Astyanax mexicanus: one gene and its partner. Each later gene encodes a partner of the first gene's protein in a complex. Links are inferred from orthologs where the notes say so. Each region holds a gene or a part of one and is shown on either strand. Other genes may lie near its edges.

Region 1 (9,104 bases):
TATTTATCCTATTACATCTACACAGTAGTTTAAAATGAACTTAAGCTGTATGGAAATCAATCCATCAGTGTGCTTTAGCTTTAAAGGACCAGGGTTAATATATCTTCTGTCGAAACTAATAAAAGGTTCTTATCAGCAGAGCTTCAGACAGTATTTTATTACTGTGCAGTATGTCACAGAAATCTGTTTGGGATATAGCCTCCAATAGGTATAGACAGCATGCAAACAGTGTGCTGAAGCTATGGAAATGGGTGAACTGACTATTGTTCTGCTGAACAGGTGATGACTGAGTTTTAGTAAGGTTGATAACAGTAGCTGGGTAATTTATCACTACCAATGGTGTAGTAGAGACAGGTTACTGATCAGCTACAGAGTAAGTCTTGTTGTTGATTGCCACTGTGTGTCAGTCCGGTAACCCGTGCTTGGGTGATTAAAAGGCAGAGATTACATTCTATCTGTGTATCAAAGCAAACGTATTGTATATATGGTTCTCTTGTGTCTGTCCACTGGATTCTATTACAGTGTGTTTTGAGTCAACAGGTTTTATGTTATTTATCAATATTATCATCTGTGACTGAGGTATTCGTTTAAGACTTTGGTCACAGCCATTTAAAGTCATATCCCCTATAAAGCCTTCACCAGGTTACAAATTCTGATTATTATGAGAAACATAAGCATAAAGAAAGGTTCTCAGAATGTTTCTCAGAGCTCAGTGGAAAAAGGGTTATTCTGGGAGAGATCTGATGTCCTGGGAGAGCCAGTCTGCGATATCACAGCTGCCTCTATTGGTTCCAATAACAACAAAATGCTGGAACACGGACAGGTTCTGGGTCAGTTCAGTGAAAATGATCACTCTGATCCAGGAGCAGCTTCACGTTGCACCCAGAACAAAGGGGAGGCGATGCGAGCATGTTGCTATGTTGACATTCAGGTGTCAGTGATACGTATAACTCTGTCAAACACACCTTTACAGGCCCCTTTGAAGTCTTGGGTGATGTCCACCCAGTTGGCGTTGTTCCTCATCTTCTCTGGGATGCCGAGACCCCATCCACCTTCGTCCTCCTCCACTGACGATTTCATCACCATGGGGACGGATGCAAACAACAAAGCAGCAGATCTTCAGGTTAGGAGACGAGGCCTAGAGCACCACGCCGTTGCTGTGGAGCGATTCACAGTACTGTAAATACAACAGAACAATGATACAATTAGTCAGAGTGCCTTTCATACTCCTGTATGCTGATAATGTATAAAATATTGTTTACTGCAATAAACAGTATATTACCATCACTGCCAGTATCCAGAAATGCTAAAATATCTGCTTACTATTCATTATACTACACAGGTGTTACAGTATATTTCTTTTTAATGAAAATTAGGTACTAGTACTACGTTCCAAATTGTAACAGTACATTAGATTACATTTGGCAGATGCTTTTATCGAATAGCGACTTACAAATAATGATTTACATTTAGTAATAGAGTACATAGAAGTTCAAGGCAAAAAACTTGGGATTAGTGGGACAGAGGAGAAAAGCAGGAGAAGTAGTTAGTTTGTTAGAGGTGTTAGGAGAGTAAGTGCTCTTTGAAGAGCTCAGACATCAGGAGTTTCATAAAGATAGCAAGGGATGCTCCAGCTCTGGTAGTGAAACAACTTGCATTATACCACATTCAGTTCTGACCCTGCAATGTGATTGGCTGAGAGGCTTCTATTAGAGCTGCAAAGATTAGTCGATATAATCAACAGTGCCGATTATTTAAATTTGTCGACTACAAATTTAATTGTCGACTAATCGTTCATTTGTAACAGTACCGCATTACACAAAGTGCTGGGGACAGAAGCGCAATTGAAGATGGGTAAATGGCTCACTCACACAGTTTACACTTAACTTAGTCTGTGTCTCCAAAAGTACCCAAACTCTACAGATTACATATTTACTCACTAAATATCAGTACTTTCCACGTTTAAACAACATCCAGACATTTAAATGCCTTATGAATCTCACGTTCAGCTGTTTCTATTGTTTTTAGAGATAGTCGACTACCAAAATAATCATTAGTTGCAGCCCTAGCTTCTATGAATACAGTTATCAGTTGGTAATTCACTGTAACTGAAGCTCCCCATGTATTACTTCGCCACATACGGGTAACCTACCAACAATGCAGCTCTTACAAACAGCACAACTATAAACAGAGCAGCAACAACTGTCACAATTAATTACAGTGGATTCATTAAATCTATTGGCTTTGAAAGCATTGGTTTCGTTCTGAAACCAGAGGATAAATCTATAAATGACCTGCCTGACACCTCCAATGACCCAAGGTTTGATGCGGTTTAAACAATGATTAGTAGAGCTGGAAATGCAGAGAAATGGAGTTAAAATAGTAAAACAAACGTCCTGGACTCTTAATGTATTTACATCCTGGTTAAAGAGCAACAACATTAAAGTCGATTTAGAATTATAAACCAAAACGAAATGAATCAGCTTCTACTATGTAAAGACGCAGATTTTACACCAGTAAACAATGTCTTTGTGGGCATTGTAAAGAGAATAAGAAACAATGGAGGAAACAGAACTTTTCACCATCCAGCAATATTATCTGAAGACCTTGCAAAAACCTACCAGTCAAAAGCACATGATCCTGGAACCCTGAGAGGTCTTTCAAATAAGGCCTCACCTAAAACTAATCTGAATTGTTTTTAACCCTAAAGGTTTGGGTCAACATTTTGGCGGATGAAGAAAGGAAAGAAATATTGAGATTCGCCGAAAATCATTTACGATACAGGAAGATGACAATGGGGAAAAATGTCACTATCCTTTTTCCTGCGCTTTAATAAGCTGTGGGTGTGCATTTTTTTATTATTTAATTTTTTAATGTCCTTTAAGGAGCTTCGTAGAGATGCAATAAAATAATATTAGCCATTTTACTGAATTAAATTTATAGAAAATACATTAATAAACATGCAGAAACTAAACTCAAAAGAGAACAGGTGAAAGGGAGTAGCGGTCCAGTTTTATGGAGCGGTCATTTAAACACATTGGCAGTAGTCCACAGTCTTTATATGGCTGGGTTTCAGTTAAAAAGAGCCAACTTTGGTGTTTGGTGTTTAGTGTGTGTGTGTGTGTGTGTGTGTGTGTGTGTGTGGGTGTGGGAAAGCTCAGTGTGTGGTCAAGAGTTCCCAAGAAGGAAGTAGACATAGACATAGTAAGCTTGACAAATGCCCTAATTTGAACTATGGCAAACATCAGTAGCTAATAGTCATTAACACACAGACTGAGCTGGTCATGGATATCTGGATTAACTAGTCATCTAACCTAGCTAACTCGTTCTGCAGCTTTATTTATTGTGAGAGGGAATGGGAGGGGGAGGAAATGAGTGTCAGACCTCCAGACAAGCATTAAAGGTGAGTAGCCAAGCCTGCGTACAGAACAACTGTTCTGTGGTGATTGGAACCCTAAGGGGTTTAGTTACTGAAATAGGTGGCAATACAAAGTCTGTTTGAAAGGAAGAAGAATGGCATTTTTCATTTAACCAACCGTAACACAATATGCGACAACGAGAAAAAACAGTTGACTGCGGCTGCTAGGTTAGGTATGTGAAATGTAATGGCTGTGTTATGTTTGTGTACAGTATAGCTTAGCTAACCTAGCTTAGCTAGCTATCTATCTATCTGACATTCAGTGTCCAGCTCGTTAACCTAGCTTAGCTTAGCTAACCTAGCAAGCGACCACATAACGACTAACAACAAGCTAAAACTCCGGATTTAACACTGCCAATTATTTCAGTTCATACAGCAATATGTTAACTAGCTTCGCGTTTATACGGTTATCACTTAACATCACCGCAATTAATGGATAAAACAGATAATTTACCTTATAAATGACTAGCTAGCGTACTCCCCTGCAGCCACTCATCACCGCTTCCACTGGTCACCGGTGATAGACGTTGCGCCGAACTGCATTATAGGATTTGTAGTTCTGAATATTTCGCAAACCATCCACGCCTTTAGACCTATGTACATATTTTATTTCAAGTCCTGAATGTATAACGTTGTATTAATTGTTGTGCAGGTTGAGATGCCTTAAGACGATACTTTTTTTAAATAAATCTCTATTTTTTCCTCAAAATAAACCGTAAAATCTCTCAAAGTACTACATTTCCCAGTATACGTCTTATGTTACTTGTGCCGTAACTTGAATCCGCAGATTTCCAAGCCGTTGCTGTCACACCGCCGTGCGCGTGCATGACTTGTAGATCGCAGATTTTGCGCAAAGTCAGAACAGTGAGAACTGTCCCAGTACGGTGTAATAAAGCCAGAGATGTTTATGTAGAGCCTTCCAACTTCCCACATGTTTCCCCGTTCTAGCAAAAAAGGAGTGTTAACCGATAGGGGGCGATCACGAGCGAGTCTTCAATTAATGGGAGTGAATGGAGCTAAATGGCTACAAACTAAAATTAAAAACAGTGTCTAACAACTTGTTCAGGATATCCATTTAATTTCGGAAAATCTAATGAAGCATTTTCTTAAAAAATAAAGAAACTTATAACTTATAACTTGTTTTTCTCTTAATTACTTTCTACTGTGAACTGACTGTTTGATCCAATGCAGAAGGCCCAGTCCCATTTCACCCCTTGGCCCTATTGTTTGTTTTTGTTTTGTTTTGTTTTATTGATCTTTAAAGTTTTAGGGTAATATAAAGAAACCACAATGGAAGACAGTATAAAAATATACATTATGGAGAAAAAAAGAAAAAAAAACAAGAGGCCAGTGAAAGCTTATCACAAATTCTTACAGTTTTTTTTCTTATTTTTAGTAATTCTAAAGGATTTCAATAGTGATGTAAAATGTTTGTATGTACTCAATAAAATAAAAATGTTAATAATAAATTCCTAGACATAATATATCTATGTCAATGTATAAAAAAACATAACATATCCCCAAGGTTCAGGTTCACATAAATGTTGGTTTTCTTCAAAATTTTAGGTGCAATGGAACATAAAAAAAGATGTGATACTAATTCACATTTTGATTGACATAAGGAGCATTTAACATATTTTTAAATTTTGCAATTTTCTAATTCATAGGAGATATATGTTGTGAAGTATTTTCTAATGCACTCCCTAGTTTTATTGGGGATATTTGGGAACATTTATAGGGTAAAAGCCATGCTTTTGTCCAATTTTTATCTTGGATCGTGGTATTCCAAAAGAAAAGTTCCTTCTAGGTGTAGCATATTTTCTTAAATGAAACACATTCCTTATTAATTTATTAGTGCATTTTAGGTCAAAGACACAAACACTGCCTTCTAAAAACTGACATTCCTCATTCCCCACTTTTTTTTTACATGAAATGTGACTTTTTCTAAGGTTAATATGATAAGGATGAGGATTTCATAAGGATTTTACCGCTTCCCCATGTTAGTCAGTATGAAAATGATTAAACATTTATAAACTATGATTTTGCTCCATTTTCCCATTTGAACCCATTCATGTTGGACTCACTCTGGAGCGGCCTCTAGTGTTGTGAAAAGCCCCATAGAGACTCATAGAGTAGGAGTTCTCTCTGTCAGAGAGTCTCTGCTGTAAGCTGGCAGGCAGGCAGGCCAGATGGATTGCTAGTAAATAATAATAACACCAGGGCGTTGCGAGCATCTGCTTAAGATAACAGACAAAGAGCAGGAGCCGCTAAACTCAGATGGAGCAGCTTTGCCTTAAATGTAAGTTAAACCTCGTTTCTGATCCTCCGATTCAGGGTATTAGTGCAGTTGGAGCTGTAGTGACACTTCAGGGCTGGATTCGCTCGCTAGCCCGGTCGTTAGCCCCTCGCTGGGGCAGGTGCAGCTGACATGGTGCTGAACTGGGTTAGTTCAGGGCAATAATACCAGCCGGGAGCTTTATGACAGCTGTTAGGTTCAATTAAAAAACACTGGTGTGATTAAATTCTGTGCTACAGTGCTTTATTTATCATCTGTCGATGCGTGGCAGCTTTGTTTTAGGAGTCACCATAACCTCCCCGGGCATAGGGGACCTGTTTTAGCCAGCTAGCGATAGCCAGGTTAGCTAACCATGCTAACGCTAGATAACCTAGGTTAGCTAACTAGCTTAACTGTCATTACAGCTGCAGGGCTGAAGGGTTTTGTAGCTAGTTGGCTTTATTTCGTTTGTAGTTAATTATCTAGGTTAAATTTGTCTAAATTATTTACTAGCTAAGATAAATATCACATTAAAACCAAGGCTGTCACATTAAAGCCAAAGCTTAGTAGCTATGTTACTAATGTCATTAATGCTGCGTAAATAATGCTGTGTTTTTAGGTTTCTAGGTAAGCTAGTTAACCCTACTGTCCAATAAGGTGTTTTTACAGTAGACGGCATTAACTTTTATTAATTAAAACATATTTATCTGGCTCAACAGTTACTAAGTTAATTATTTAATTTAATGTGAATAATATACTGTAATTCAAAGAATAAAAATAATGAGAAGAATAGAAAGAAAAGTGTAGTTTATATGTAGTAATTATGCACAACTGTTATGTTTATGGCTGTGTCTTTCTTTTGCAGTGTGACTAATCTCTCTGTGGATGGCAAGAAATGGATAAACCCAAAATGGCTACAGAGAAAGGGTGAACACACAAACATGCACACACTCTTAAATCATTTACTCTACATTTATAAGCATTTTTACATTTAAAGAGGGTCAGTCTAATGTTCATCAGGTCAGAGTTTTTGAAACTAAAGCCCTATTCAGACGGGTCTAGTTTCTTAGGGGGTCCTGGGGTAATTTTCTCTTTTATTTTAATTTTAATTTTCTCTGTGCGTTGCTATGTTTTTAATGCAAATTAAATAATTACGCTTTCAAGTTTGACCCCATCTTCTTCTGTAATCTGCCCCGCCCAACCTGCAGATTTTGGTCTCAAACGAACTCTGGAGTGATTCACTAGTGCTAAGAACTCAATCTGGTCTTGATCCAGCTTTCAAATATTCTTCTTATTAATTAAGCCAAACTGCTGGTAAGGTGCAGTTTAATCTGATATATTTGCCAGATAATATAATGCTATGAACAAGCACTGTCCCTGCCAATTGTGGTTTCAGCAGTTGATGGTAAGCTACATGATCGGGATTCGAACCAGCAATCTCCCGATAAGTGACAGCACTTAGCCTGATGGACCACGTGGAGCCCTCTACACTTAATTCAAAAAGAAGTGCATTTTATTGGTAGCTGACTGAATACAATGTACTAATTTAAAAATGATGTACTTTCAAAACTCTTGCAACTGGACTGCAAAAAAAAAAAAAACAGGAGGACCAGTGAGTTTTTTGGTTCAGTAGCTCCTCCATTTCCACTTGCTGTTGTATTTACATAAATCTCTGTGAAAATGCGCGCCCCAAGCGTGGCAGTAGACAAATAGCTATTTCATCAAATGTGAGGCGGCGAAACTGGGGAAGTTGGGGTCAAACGTATTTTTAATTTGCATTAAAAAATAGTAAATTAATCGTGTGCATTAATGCTTTAACGTTGACAGCCATGGTTAAAACAGTTAAGTAGTAACAAATGCTGTGATGTGAGCATGCCCAGTGGCTATTTTGTGAAAGCTAAGGGAAGGCATAGACTTTATGAGTCTATTTTGAAGTTGTTTTGGTCAAACATGATCTTTAACCTTGCGTTTGCATTTATCCCTGTCTTGTCTTCAGGCACCCTCTATTAGCATACTGGGTGTGTCTTTCTTCCCTCATTCACCCTTGTTATGTAGTTCTTCCCTATGCTACCATCCCCTATTTGTACCATTATGTGCAAGTTATTTTCAAGTGTAGCTGATTGGCCTCAGAGTTAAAGACTGCAGGAACAAGTTCACACTTTCAGTGTTACTTTAAGTTGCCAAAACTGTGTTCTCTGGAATGATGGTCACAACAATGCTCCATAATCTAATATAAAGCTTTCCCTGAACAATAGAGAAAGTTACTAAAGCATATTAAACTCTCTGAATTTTTATTTTAAATAAACTGGTTTCCCAATGCTTTCACCAGTGAACTCTGTTCTGATTGGGTGTGGCATATGGTACTTGATTCAAAGAACAATCCAGGCTGAAATACTCCTCTTTACCTTTATCTTGAATAGGTAAATATATGTTAATGTGAATACAATAAATTTTAATAAAAAGTGGAACTCGTGTGTGATGGATTTTTATGTAATGGTTTACATATTTCAGGAAAAATGATATAGGCTCTTCAATAAATATTGCTAAATAGGTTGTAAACTGCACCACTTATATTGAAAATCATATCTCTTAGGCTTATTTATTGTCTTGGTGTGTGTCTTCGCAGAATCCCCAGTAGTTCCCGGGTGCTGATGTTGCTGGGGCAGCTGGAGCGCCTGAATGGAGAGGTGTTGGTCACTGACACTGAGGCGGTCAGGCAGGTGACAGGCAAAATCCTGCATCTCATTCAGACTCAAGGTGAGAAAACACAAACTCATGCTGATCATTCCTTGCTGCTGGGCCACATAAATGCGCAAACCTGCTTACAAGTACAGTCATAGGAAAAAATGAGGACATCAAATAAAAAACTGATGGATGAAGCCAGCATCATCATGTACAATAATCTTTTACAGTGTGAATCATAGAAATACAGTTTTTCTGTAAAATGTTTCTGTAAAAAATTCTGTTAAATGGTTAAAAAATATTCAATTTCAATATTTGAAACTTTGTCCTTGAAGTATGTCTTAAAATAGCACAAACGTACTGAAACACTAGGTGATGGGCTGTTAATAATAGACCAAAGTAGGCCCACTTGGTGCAGATCAAAACAACAATAGCAAGCCATTGTAAGGTAAGGTATCTTTGCCCAGTTTTGGAGATGAGTGTGTCATTCAGTGTCAGCAAACACCTAAGCAAGTCTGTTTGTGTTTACCTAAAAGAGTATATCCACCCTCAATATCAGAAAATGTAGCGTAGACAGCAGACAATTAGAGTCTCTTTTGCTTTGTAAGTTGCTTTAGAGAGTTGTGAGAGTGCCAACAATTAGTAGGTCTCTGTTATATAATTAAGGAGAAAATTCTCATTGGTTTATCATTAACTAAGGTGAATATACAAACAGCAGAACTACATTTG
Region 2 (8,796 bases), on another chromosome or scaffold:
CATTTATATTTATATTTATTTAACTATATTAAATTCTTCCCTCTAACTGTGCATCCTTCCCTGTGCCACTGGCTGCAGCACAAACTCACAGCATGATCCATCCACCCCCATGTTTAACAGTAAGAGACGGTCTCTTCATGCAGTTCTGCACCTTCATCTTCAAACATACCTTTTATTTATTACTACTAATAATAAAAAGAATAAGAAGAAAAATACAACTCCCAATTTCCCAATATTTTCTTTTTATTGATATTTACAAAACCACACCCTTGTACACACACACACACACACCCACACACACACACAGGAGTCCACCTGTCCTCAGGTACGCTCAGGAACAGCACACACACTGTGTTAACCTGCCCTGCAGGAGCAGCAGTGTCCAAAAAAAACTACTCTTCCCATAATCCTCTGGAGGAGTTCAGCACTCAGAGTCCGTGAGCCGGCTGTAAACTCTCCGCCTCCACCTCGATCGAGACGACGTGATGACCCGGAATCATCGCCAGACCCAGAACCCTCGGCTCACCCTGAGAAAACGAGTCTGAGAGAGAGAGAGAGCAAATATGATACCGCTGAGCTAAATCTATGATTAGAATAGCACTTCTGAGGTAAATATATGATTATAATAACTCTGCTGAGGTAAATGTATGATTAGAATAGCACTGCTGAGGTAAATGTATGATTAGAGTAGCTCTGCTGAGGTAAATTCATAATTAGAATAGATCTACTGAGGTAAATGTATAGGTAAAGCAGCTCTACTGAGGTAAATATATGATGAGAATAGCTCTAATGAGGTAAATGTATGACTAGAATAGCATTGCTGAGGTACATGTATGATTAGAATAGCTCTTCTGAGGTAAATATAAAGTTAGAGTAGCTCGGCTGAGGTAAATGTATAGTTAAAGTATGATAATATGATTGTAGTTCTAAAATGGTTTGTGAAAGTAAGACAACTTGCATCTAAGCTCCTTAATTTCACAATATGAAATATATGTATATAGTTTAGAGATAGAGCGGCCAAATAGACAAAAACATAATTATATAACAAAGTTTTTACACATATATATCTCTTCTGAAATCTACAGTCAGTTTAGGCCACGCCCTCGATCTGTATCTGCAATTAGATTGGTCCCAAAAACACAGATCAGTCTGTCTATAATATTTTATATATTGTGTTTTGCAAAACCTTTATTTTAATTATATGTAATACTATTACTAGTGTCTTTATTAAACAGGATTGGCGTAATTCTATGTGTTGAAACTTATATGTTATATGTTAAAACACATACTTCTAGTACTACTTGTCAAATCAAGTGATCTCAAAAGTCTGGACCCCCTTTTCATTCAGTGTTTTTCTACATTGTAGATGTAAGAGAATATGTATGGAATTACAGCACTATATAAATGATATATAAGTGTATTAACAGCTTTCTGATCACTTATTTTATCATTGTTAATATTGTATTGTTAAATAAACTGTAAATATTCATTTTTACATTTCCAGACGTGCACCTCGTAGCTCCTAAAACAAGTGGAAAATGAGTATAAATATATTTATTTACTGCTGATAATTTACACACGACTCGTGCGCCCTCTGCTGGTTATAACGCAGTTCTGCTGCTTCACTTTCAGCTCTTTATCATTTTCTCTGCAAAATAAATCGGTTTATACTGTAATAAAATGGGCGGTGGATGGACCAATAGGGATGCTGTAAATTCTCGCGAGCTCCGCCCACCTGTGGACTTGAGGAACTCCTGGGCGGAGCCGAGGATGACGTTACAGTCGCGGTCGGTGCAGAGGAACAGTCCCACCAGCGTCCGGCCGTCCGTCATCCGGATCCTCATACTCTTATTCAACAGATTCTCCAGCTTCTGCCGAGCCGAGGAGTACACACACTCCTCCACCTGCACACACACACACACACATATATAAATATATACAGCTCTGGAAAATAATGAGTTTCTTTATCGAAAACCTCTGGAATATAATCAAGAGGAAGATGGATGATCACAAACCATCAAACCACCAAACTGAACTGCTTGAATTTTTGCACCAGGAGTAAAGCAGCATAAAGTTATCCAAAAGCAGTGTGTAAGACTGGTGGAGGAGAACATGATGCCAAGATGCATGAAAAAAACTGTGATTAAAAACCAGGATTATTCCACCAAATATGGATTATTTCTGAACTCTTAAAACTTTATGAATATGAACTTGTTGTTTTCTTTGCATTATTTGAGGTCTGAAAGCTCTGCATCTTTTTTGTTATTTCAGCCATTTCTCATTTTCTGTAAATAAATGCTCTAAATGAGAATATTTTTATTTGGAATTTGGGAGAAATGTTGTCTGTAGTTTATAGAATAAAACAACTATGTTCATTTTACTCAAACATAAACCTATAAATAGCAAAATCAGAGAAACTGATTCAGAAACTGAAGTGCTTTTTTCCATCTTCAGCAATCAGGATCTCTGAACAGCTCTTACAACAGAACACTAAAACTCCACACTAAGCTACTGTTCTTTATTTAATCCGGTTAGTTTCGGTTTCACACTGCAGTTCGGTGACTGAGCGATTAATCCTGATCTTACACCAAACGATTTTAAACGAGTCTGAATAAAATCCTGAGTGTTGTTAGAGGGGAGTTGTGGGGGCGTCGTCTCGATGGTTCAGTGTAAGGTATTTAAAAGATTGAAGGTTTAAGTCAGTATTTTTCTCGTCCTGCGTTCAGATAAAGTTCAGATAAAATCAACCGTGTTTAACATTAATCATATGTCTTGAGACTTGGCAACCAATAGGAGAAGAGCTACAGGAAGCTGCAAGGCAAGAATATTTAATGTAAATGTTTACAAACGATTTTAAAAAGAACACATTTAACTGTTAATAGATCGTATATACAGGCAGCACTTTAAAATCATTATATTTAAACTTATTTTATTTTGCACTACTTTGTCTCATTGTGCAGGTATTGTTATTTTTGATACAAACAAGTTTGTTATTTTGCATTAATTCTATTTAAAACAAAGGCAAATGTATAACATATTCTTTTACTTCCTCTATTACCGCATTTTGATCATCCTGAAATTTGGTAAAGAAATCCAATAGATTTACACTGTAGTGTTAAAGTGACTTTATTACAGAGGTTTAGCTGGTCTACCAGTATAACCCGTATGATCCAGCAGATCAGCATTAACAACAGATTCCAACAAAACATGAACTACCAGCTCCATTACCTCTAACCTTATAGTCCTCTAACTCTTATCTAGTACTTATCTAGTACCTGCAGTCTTTATGTAGATATCTACTGTTTCTCTGAGTGTGTCTGTGGTAAAGTGATAAAATTACTGGATTATAAACTTCCTCAGGATTAATAAATCAGATTAATCAGTAAATACTGATCCTCTGTTTATTATAAAGATATTTATTCTCATCAATACTTTAGTTTATACTGAAAAACATCACTGAGCTGAAACCTCTCCTCTATAATAACAGTATTAATAATATCACTATAATCACAGTAACACTGAGCTCCTGTAGTACTGAAGTAAATAATAACAGTAATCATAATCTCACTATAATCACTTCAAACACTGAGACATTAGCGGCTAATATTAGCGTTAGCATTAGCGTTAGCATTAGCCGCGCTTACCCCCTCCTGCAGCTCGGTGCCGTTCTCCTCCATGTTTTAATCACTCAGAGATGATCTAACACTGATCCCGGAGCGATTTAAAACCGAATATCGATTATTATTTACTGATTATTAACAATAAACACAGCGCTACTCAACCAGCCTGCAGCCGGAGCCCAAACACCGAGCCCGGGAAACTCACAGCGCCCCCGCCGCAGCGGAGCGGTACTGCACCCTGATAATGCTAACGCTAACCGCTAATGCTAACCGTTATTGCTAACACTAATTACTAGTATTTTTTTTTATTCACACAAATATAAACACTTGTACAGCTACACACAAAAGAGTTTATTTTCCAGTCACCTGCATCAAACAATACAATCTATTTATTTTATTTAACAAATCATATCTGTCAGTTTTTAACATGAAGTAAATTACTGCTAAAGCTGCAGGACCCTTAATTACTAAAATAAATAAAAATCACCCGAATCTAACAATATAATCTCTTTATTTATTACAACAAGAAACAAATTAACCATGACATGTTTGATTAATATAAATGACTTTTATAGGCATAAACAGTGCTGTTTAATTCACACAGACATTAACATCACCCCAAATAAAGCAATATAATTCATTTATTTGACATTTATTTATTTATTTATATAAAAGTGAAACAAACTATAGCCGGATAAACAGCAGAGAATTAAATTTACACAGAAATAAACATCATCCTGTATAAAACAACATAATCTCTTTATTGATCTGGATAAAAAACAAAACTAATGATTTCTGTCAGTTTTTAACAGGATAGAGTAAAATAATGCTACAAGACTCTTATTTTCTAAATTAAGTCCTAAATTCACTCAAAAATCATTATAATTTTTAATAATGTGATAAAAACTCTTTGATCTTTGATTTTATTGGGACAGATTAACTCTAACGGAGTTAGCACGGCGAGCGGCTAACCGCTGTACGCTAACCGAACACTGTTCATAACACCGGTGGTGTTTATTCAGGTGGAACAGGTGGAAGTGGGCGGAGCTTCCTGAGCCAGGTTATCCAGAGCCTCTCCATCAAAGCGCAAGAAGTGCCAGCCCTCCTTATCCGTCAGGTCCTGCGCACCTTTCGACAGGTAAAACTCCAGCGAAGGTTTGTTCCAGTCCAGAACCGAGAACTGCAACCGTACACACTGCTGCTCTGTAGCTACCTACAACACACACACACCAGAAATCACACACCTAACAACACCTGTATACAACCTGCACACCTGTAGACCTAATCAAAATCAGTAAATTTAGTACATATTAGTTAGCGTTTATTTTAGTGTATTTTTTATTCATTATTTTTGTATTTATAATTATTATATGTATAATAAACACAGACTCACCTTGGCGATTGTCGCCATCAGAGCTTTCCCAACACCTTTACCTGTAAGTAAGCAGAGTAACCGAAAGTTAACTTCATACTGCAGACCTCTTGCTGGAATTTTCCGTTCCACCTTAAATGCTGCAGCAGTTACAGTAGTAATGCCTGAGGTGTATTTAAGGTGGAACAGACAGTTCCATTCAGAGACCTGCACGCAAGACCGTATTTATACAGGTACAGGTGTGTAAGTATCACTAACACACCTCTGAAGTTGGGCATGACGTACAGGTCCTCCATGTAGACGCAGCGCCCGCTCCAGGTGCTGTAGGTGTAGAAATACAGAGCGTAGCCCACCACCGTGTGACCTGCACCCCCCCAAACCCCAACACAGTCAGACCGAGGGGAGCGTTTACCTGATACAGGTGAAACAGGTGAGTTACTGTACCTTCAGGAGAACAGTGTTCCTGCGCCACCTCCGCTACCAAACACTGAAAAAACGGGTTCGGACCAAACCCATCCCGCTCCAGCTCTGAAACCGCAACACACACACACACACACTAAGTACCCACACACCTGCACACCTGAACAATACCTGCACTGAACCTGCACACCTGAACAATACCTGCACTGAACCTGCACACCTGAACAATACCTGCACTGATCCTGCACACCTGAACAATACCTGTACTGAACCTGCACACCTGAACAATACCTGTACTGAACCTGCACACCTGAACAATACCTGTACTGAACCTGCACACCTGAACAATACCTGTACTGAACCTGCACACCTGAACAATACCTGTACTGAACCTGCACACCTGAACAATACCTGTACTGAACCTGCACACCTGAACAATACCTGTACTGAACCTGCACACCTGAACAATACCTGTACTGAACCTGCACACCTGAATAATACCTGCACTGAACCTGCACACCTGTAAGCTGTTCACCTGAACTTAAATTAACCTTTGTGAGAGATCTTCACCTGGTCAGGCATCTTCTCATACACAGCCAGATCCTACACACACACCAACACACACACAAACACACCAACACACACACACACACACACACACACACACACACACACACACACACAGTGAGAGTAAGTTGGACTTTAGTCAGAGTTAGTTAGACAGAGTTCCTCTGTTCCTGAAAATAACTCAGTAAATTAAATATAAGAGCAGGTTATAAATATTAATATAATGTACTGAAATTACTGTAACTATAGTAACGGTTACGTGCAATTACTGTAACTGTTATATGTAATTAAAGTAATTGTAATTGTACAGTGTAATTAATGTAATTACCCCCCCTCACCATGATCATGCGCTGTATATCAGTGCAGTCCTGAGCGCGCGCTGGCCGGATGCTGTACTTCATGCTGTGAGATTTTTGACCAGACTGATTGGTTTAATCGATCCGCAGTAACTGATCACTGATCAGCGTCCGCGCGCGCAGCACTGCCGCACTTTCTACACGCGGCTCCTCCGCAGAACTACAGAGCGTCACTGCTGCGCAGCATTTACGCAGCTGCGCAGTCATATGCAATGACATACTCACACTTTATATATAACTATACACTATACACACTATGTATGTATATGTATATATATATATTCACACACACTATCAGATTTAGAGTTTTTAATATTATACTAGTATATTATAATAGTACTGTAAACACATTAATTACACAATTATAATAATAATTTTAATAATAATAATAATAATAACAATAATAATCATATTGTTATTATGTTAATTAAGATCATGTGACTGAGTAGAAAACTAAACTTTTATAAACAGATTTATATAAACATATTCTATTAAACTGAGAACAGAATTATATCCCATAATATAACTTAAACAAAATAGTTATTAAAAAAAATCATTATTATCGTCTGAATAAATGGCTGTAGTTGGAATCAGGTATTGATTAATGGTTGATTATTGATTGTAATTCAGTAGTGATCAGTAAGACACACTCCTCTTTCCTCTCTGATCCACTAAGACCCTGCACTTCAACGTCTGGTCCCGCCCACACACACGCCCCTGGTCGGCTGGCCACGCCCACTCTGATTACAGTTGGAGCGCGAGCAGAAGTTTCAGCTTTTGCTGGAGAAGGATCAACCGATACGCACTATAAACTATACACACACACACACACACTCACACACACACTATACACACACTTTGCACTATACACTATAAACACACACAGTGCAGAACCTGTGATTATTGGGACGTATTGATTAAGGGTTTATTGACTCAGCGGCACCTCCTGCAGCTCAGAGGTAAGAACCGGTACTGCACTACTGACCTACTGTTCACTACTGACCTACTGTTCACTACTGACCTACTGTTCACTACTGACCTACTGATCACCACTGACCTACTGTTCACCACTGACCTACTGTTTACTACTGACCTACTGTTCACTACTGACCTACTGTTCACTACTGACCTACTGTTCACCACTGACCTACTGTTCACTACTGACCTACTGTTTACTACTGACCTACTGTTCACTACTGACCTACTGTTCACTACTGACCTACTGTTCACCACTGACCTACTGTTCACTACTGACCTACTGTTCACCACTGACCTACTGTTCACCACTGACCTACTGTTCACTACTGACCTACTGTTTACTACTGACCTACTGTTCACCACTGACCTACTGTTCACCACTGACCTACTGTTCACTACTGACCTACTGATCACCACTGACCTACTGTTTACTACTGACCTACTGTTCACCACTGACCTACTGTTCACCACTGACCTACTGTTCACTACTGACCTACTGATCACCACTGACCTACTGTTTACTACTGACCTACTGTTCACTACTGACCTACTGTTCACTACCCGCCTACTGTTCACCACTGACCTACTGTTCACTACTGACCTACTGTTCACTACTGACCTACTGTTCACCACTGACCTACTGTTCACTACTGACCTACTGTTCACCACTGACCTACTGTTCACTACTGACCTACTGATCACCACTGACCTACTGTTTACTACTGACCTACTGTTCACTACTGACCTACTGTTCACTACCCGCCTACTGTTCACCACTGACCTACTGTTCACTACTGACCTACTGTTCACTACTGACCTACTGATCACCACTGACCTACTGTTTACTACTGACCTACTGTTCACTACTGACCTACTGTTCACCACTGACCTACTGTTCACTACTGACCTACTGTTTACTACTGACCTACTGTTTACTACTGACCTACTGTTCACCACTGACCTACTGTTCACTACTGACCTACTGTTCACTACTGACCTACTGTTTACTACTGACCTACTGATCACCACTGACCTACTGTTTACTACTGACCTACTGTTTACTACTGACCTACTGTTCACTACTGACCTACTGTTTACTACTGACCTACTGTTCACCACTGACCTACTGTTTACTACTGACCTACTGTTCACCACTGACCTACTGTTTACTACTGACCTACTGTTCACCACTGACCTACTGTTCACTACTGACCTACTGTTCACTACTGACCTACTGTTTACTACTGACCTACTGTTTACTACTGACCTACTGTTTACTACTGACCTACTGTTCACTACTGACCTACTGTTTACTACTGACCTACTGTTTACTACTGACCTACTGTTCACTACTGACCTACTGATCACCACTGACCTACTGTTCACCACTGACCTACTGTTTACTACTGACCTACTGTTCACTACTGACCTACTGTTCACCACTGACCTACTGTTCACTACTGACCTACTGTTCACCACTGAC

What was found.
Region 2: the proteins of naa35 (region 1) and naa38 are in contact, whole or in part, in a cryo-EM structure (PDB 7MX2), measured with the Homo sapiens proteins. The link is inferred for Astyanax mexicanus from reciprocal best matches to the Homo sapiens genes NAA35 and NAA38. Residues at the interface, in NP_001308810.1 of Homo sapiens: Val30, Asp31, Ile32, Thr33, Phe36, Ala39, Cys40, Leu43, Leu45, Glu47, Leu48, Leu49, His50, Asp51, Phe54, Glu58, Ala59, Ala62, Ile63, Glu64, Met65, Met66, Ala72, Gly73, Met74, Gln306, Arg307, Leu309, Pro310, Pro311; in NP_001307854.1 of Homo sapiens: Ala41, Arg42, Leu45, Glu46, Leu48, Leu49, Arg61, Phe67, Leu68, Cys69, Thr70, Asp71, Arg72, Cys74, Ile77, Arg97, Val98, Leu99, Gly100, Leu101, Ala102, Met103, Val104, Pro105, His108, Ser111, Ile112, Glu113, Val114.

Annotation. Positions count from the first base shown.
Region 1 is NC_064419.1:21,418,602-21,427,705, reverse strand, and holds the start of naa35 (N-alpha-acetyltransferase 35, NatC auxiliary subunit), read right to left. Parts: upstream 3,968-9,104; 5' UTR 3,873-3,967; intron 3,404-3,872; exon of another isoform or gene 3,234-3,403; intron 1,178-3,233; 5' UTR 1,087-1,177; coding exon 966-1,086; intron 1-965. Other genes in the region: agtpbp1 (cytosolic carboxypeptidase 1), read left to right, coding at 6,589-6,620, 8,320-8,450. UniProt on the Homo sapiens protein: Auxillary component of the N-terminal acetyltransferase C (NatC) complex which catalyzes acetylation of N-terminal methionine residues. N-terminal acetylation protects proteins from ubiquitination and degradation by the N-end rule pathway.
Region 2 is NC_064408.1:183,319-192,114, forward strand, and holds naa38 (N-alpha-acetyltransferase 38, NatC auxiliary subunit), read right to left. Parts: upstream 3,836-8,796; 5' UTR 3,678-3,835; coding exon 3,645-3,677; intron 1,905-3,644; coding exon 1,736-1,904; intron 542-1,735; coding exon 429-541; 3' UTR 226-428; downstream 1-225. Other genes in the region: sat2b (diamine acetyltransferase 2b), read right to left, coding at 4,639-4,833, 5,014-5,054, 5,255-5,356, 5,437-5,520, 5,964-6,015, 6,318-6,380.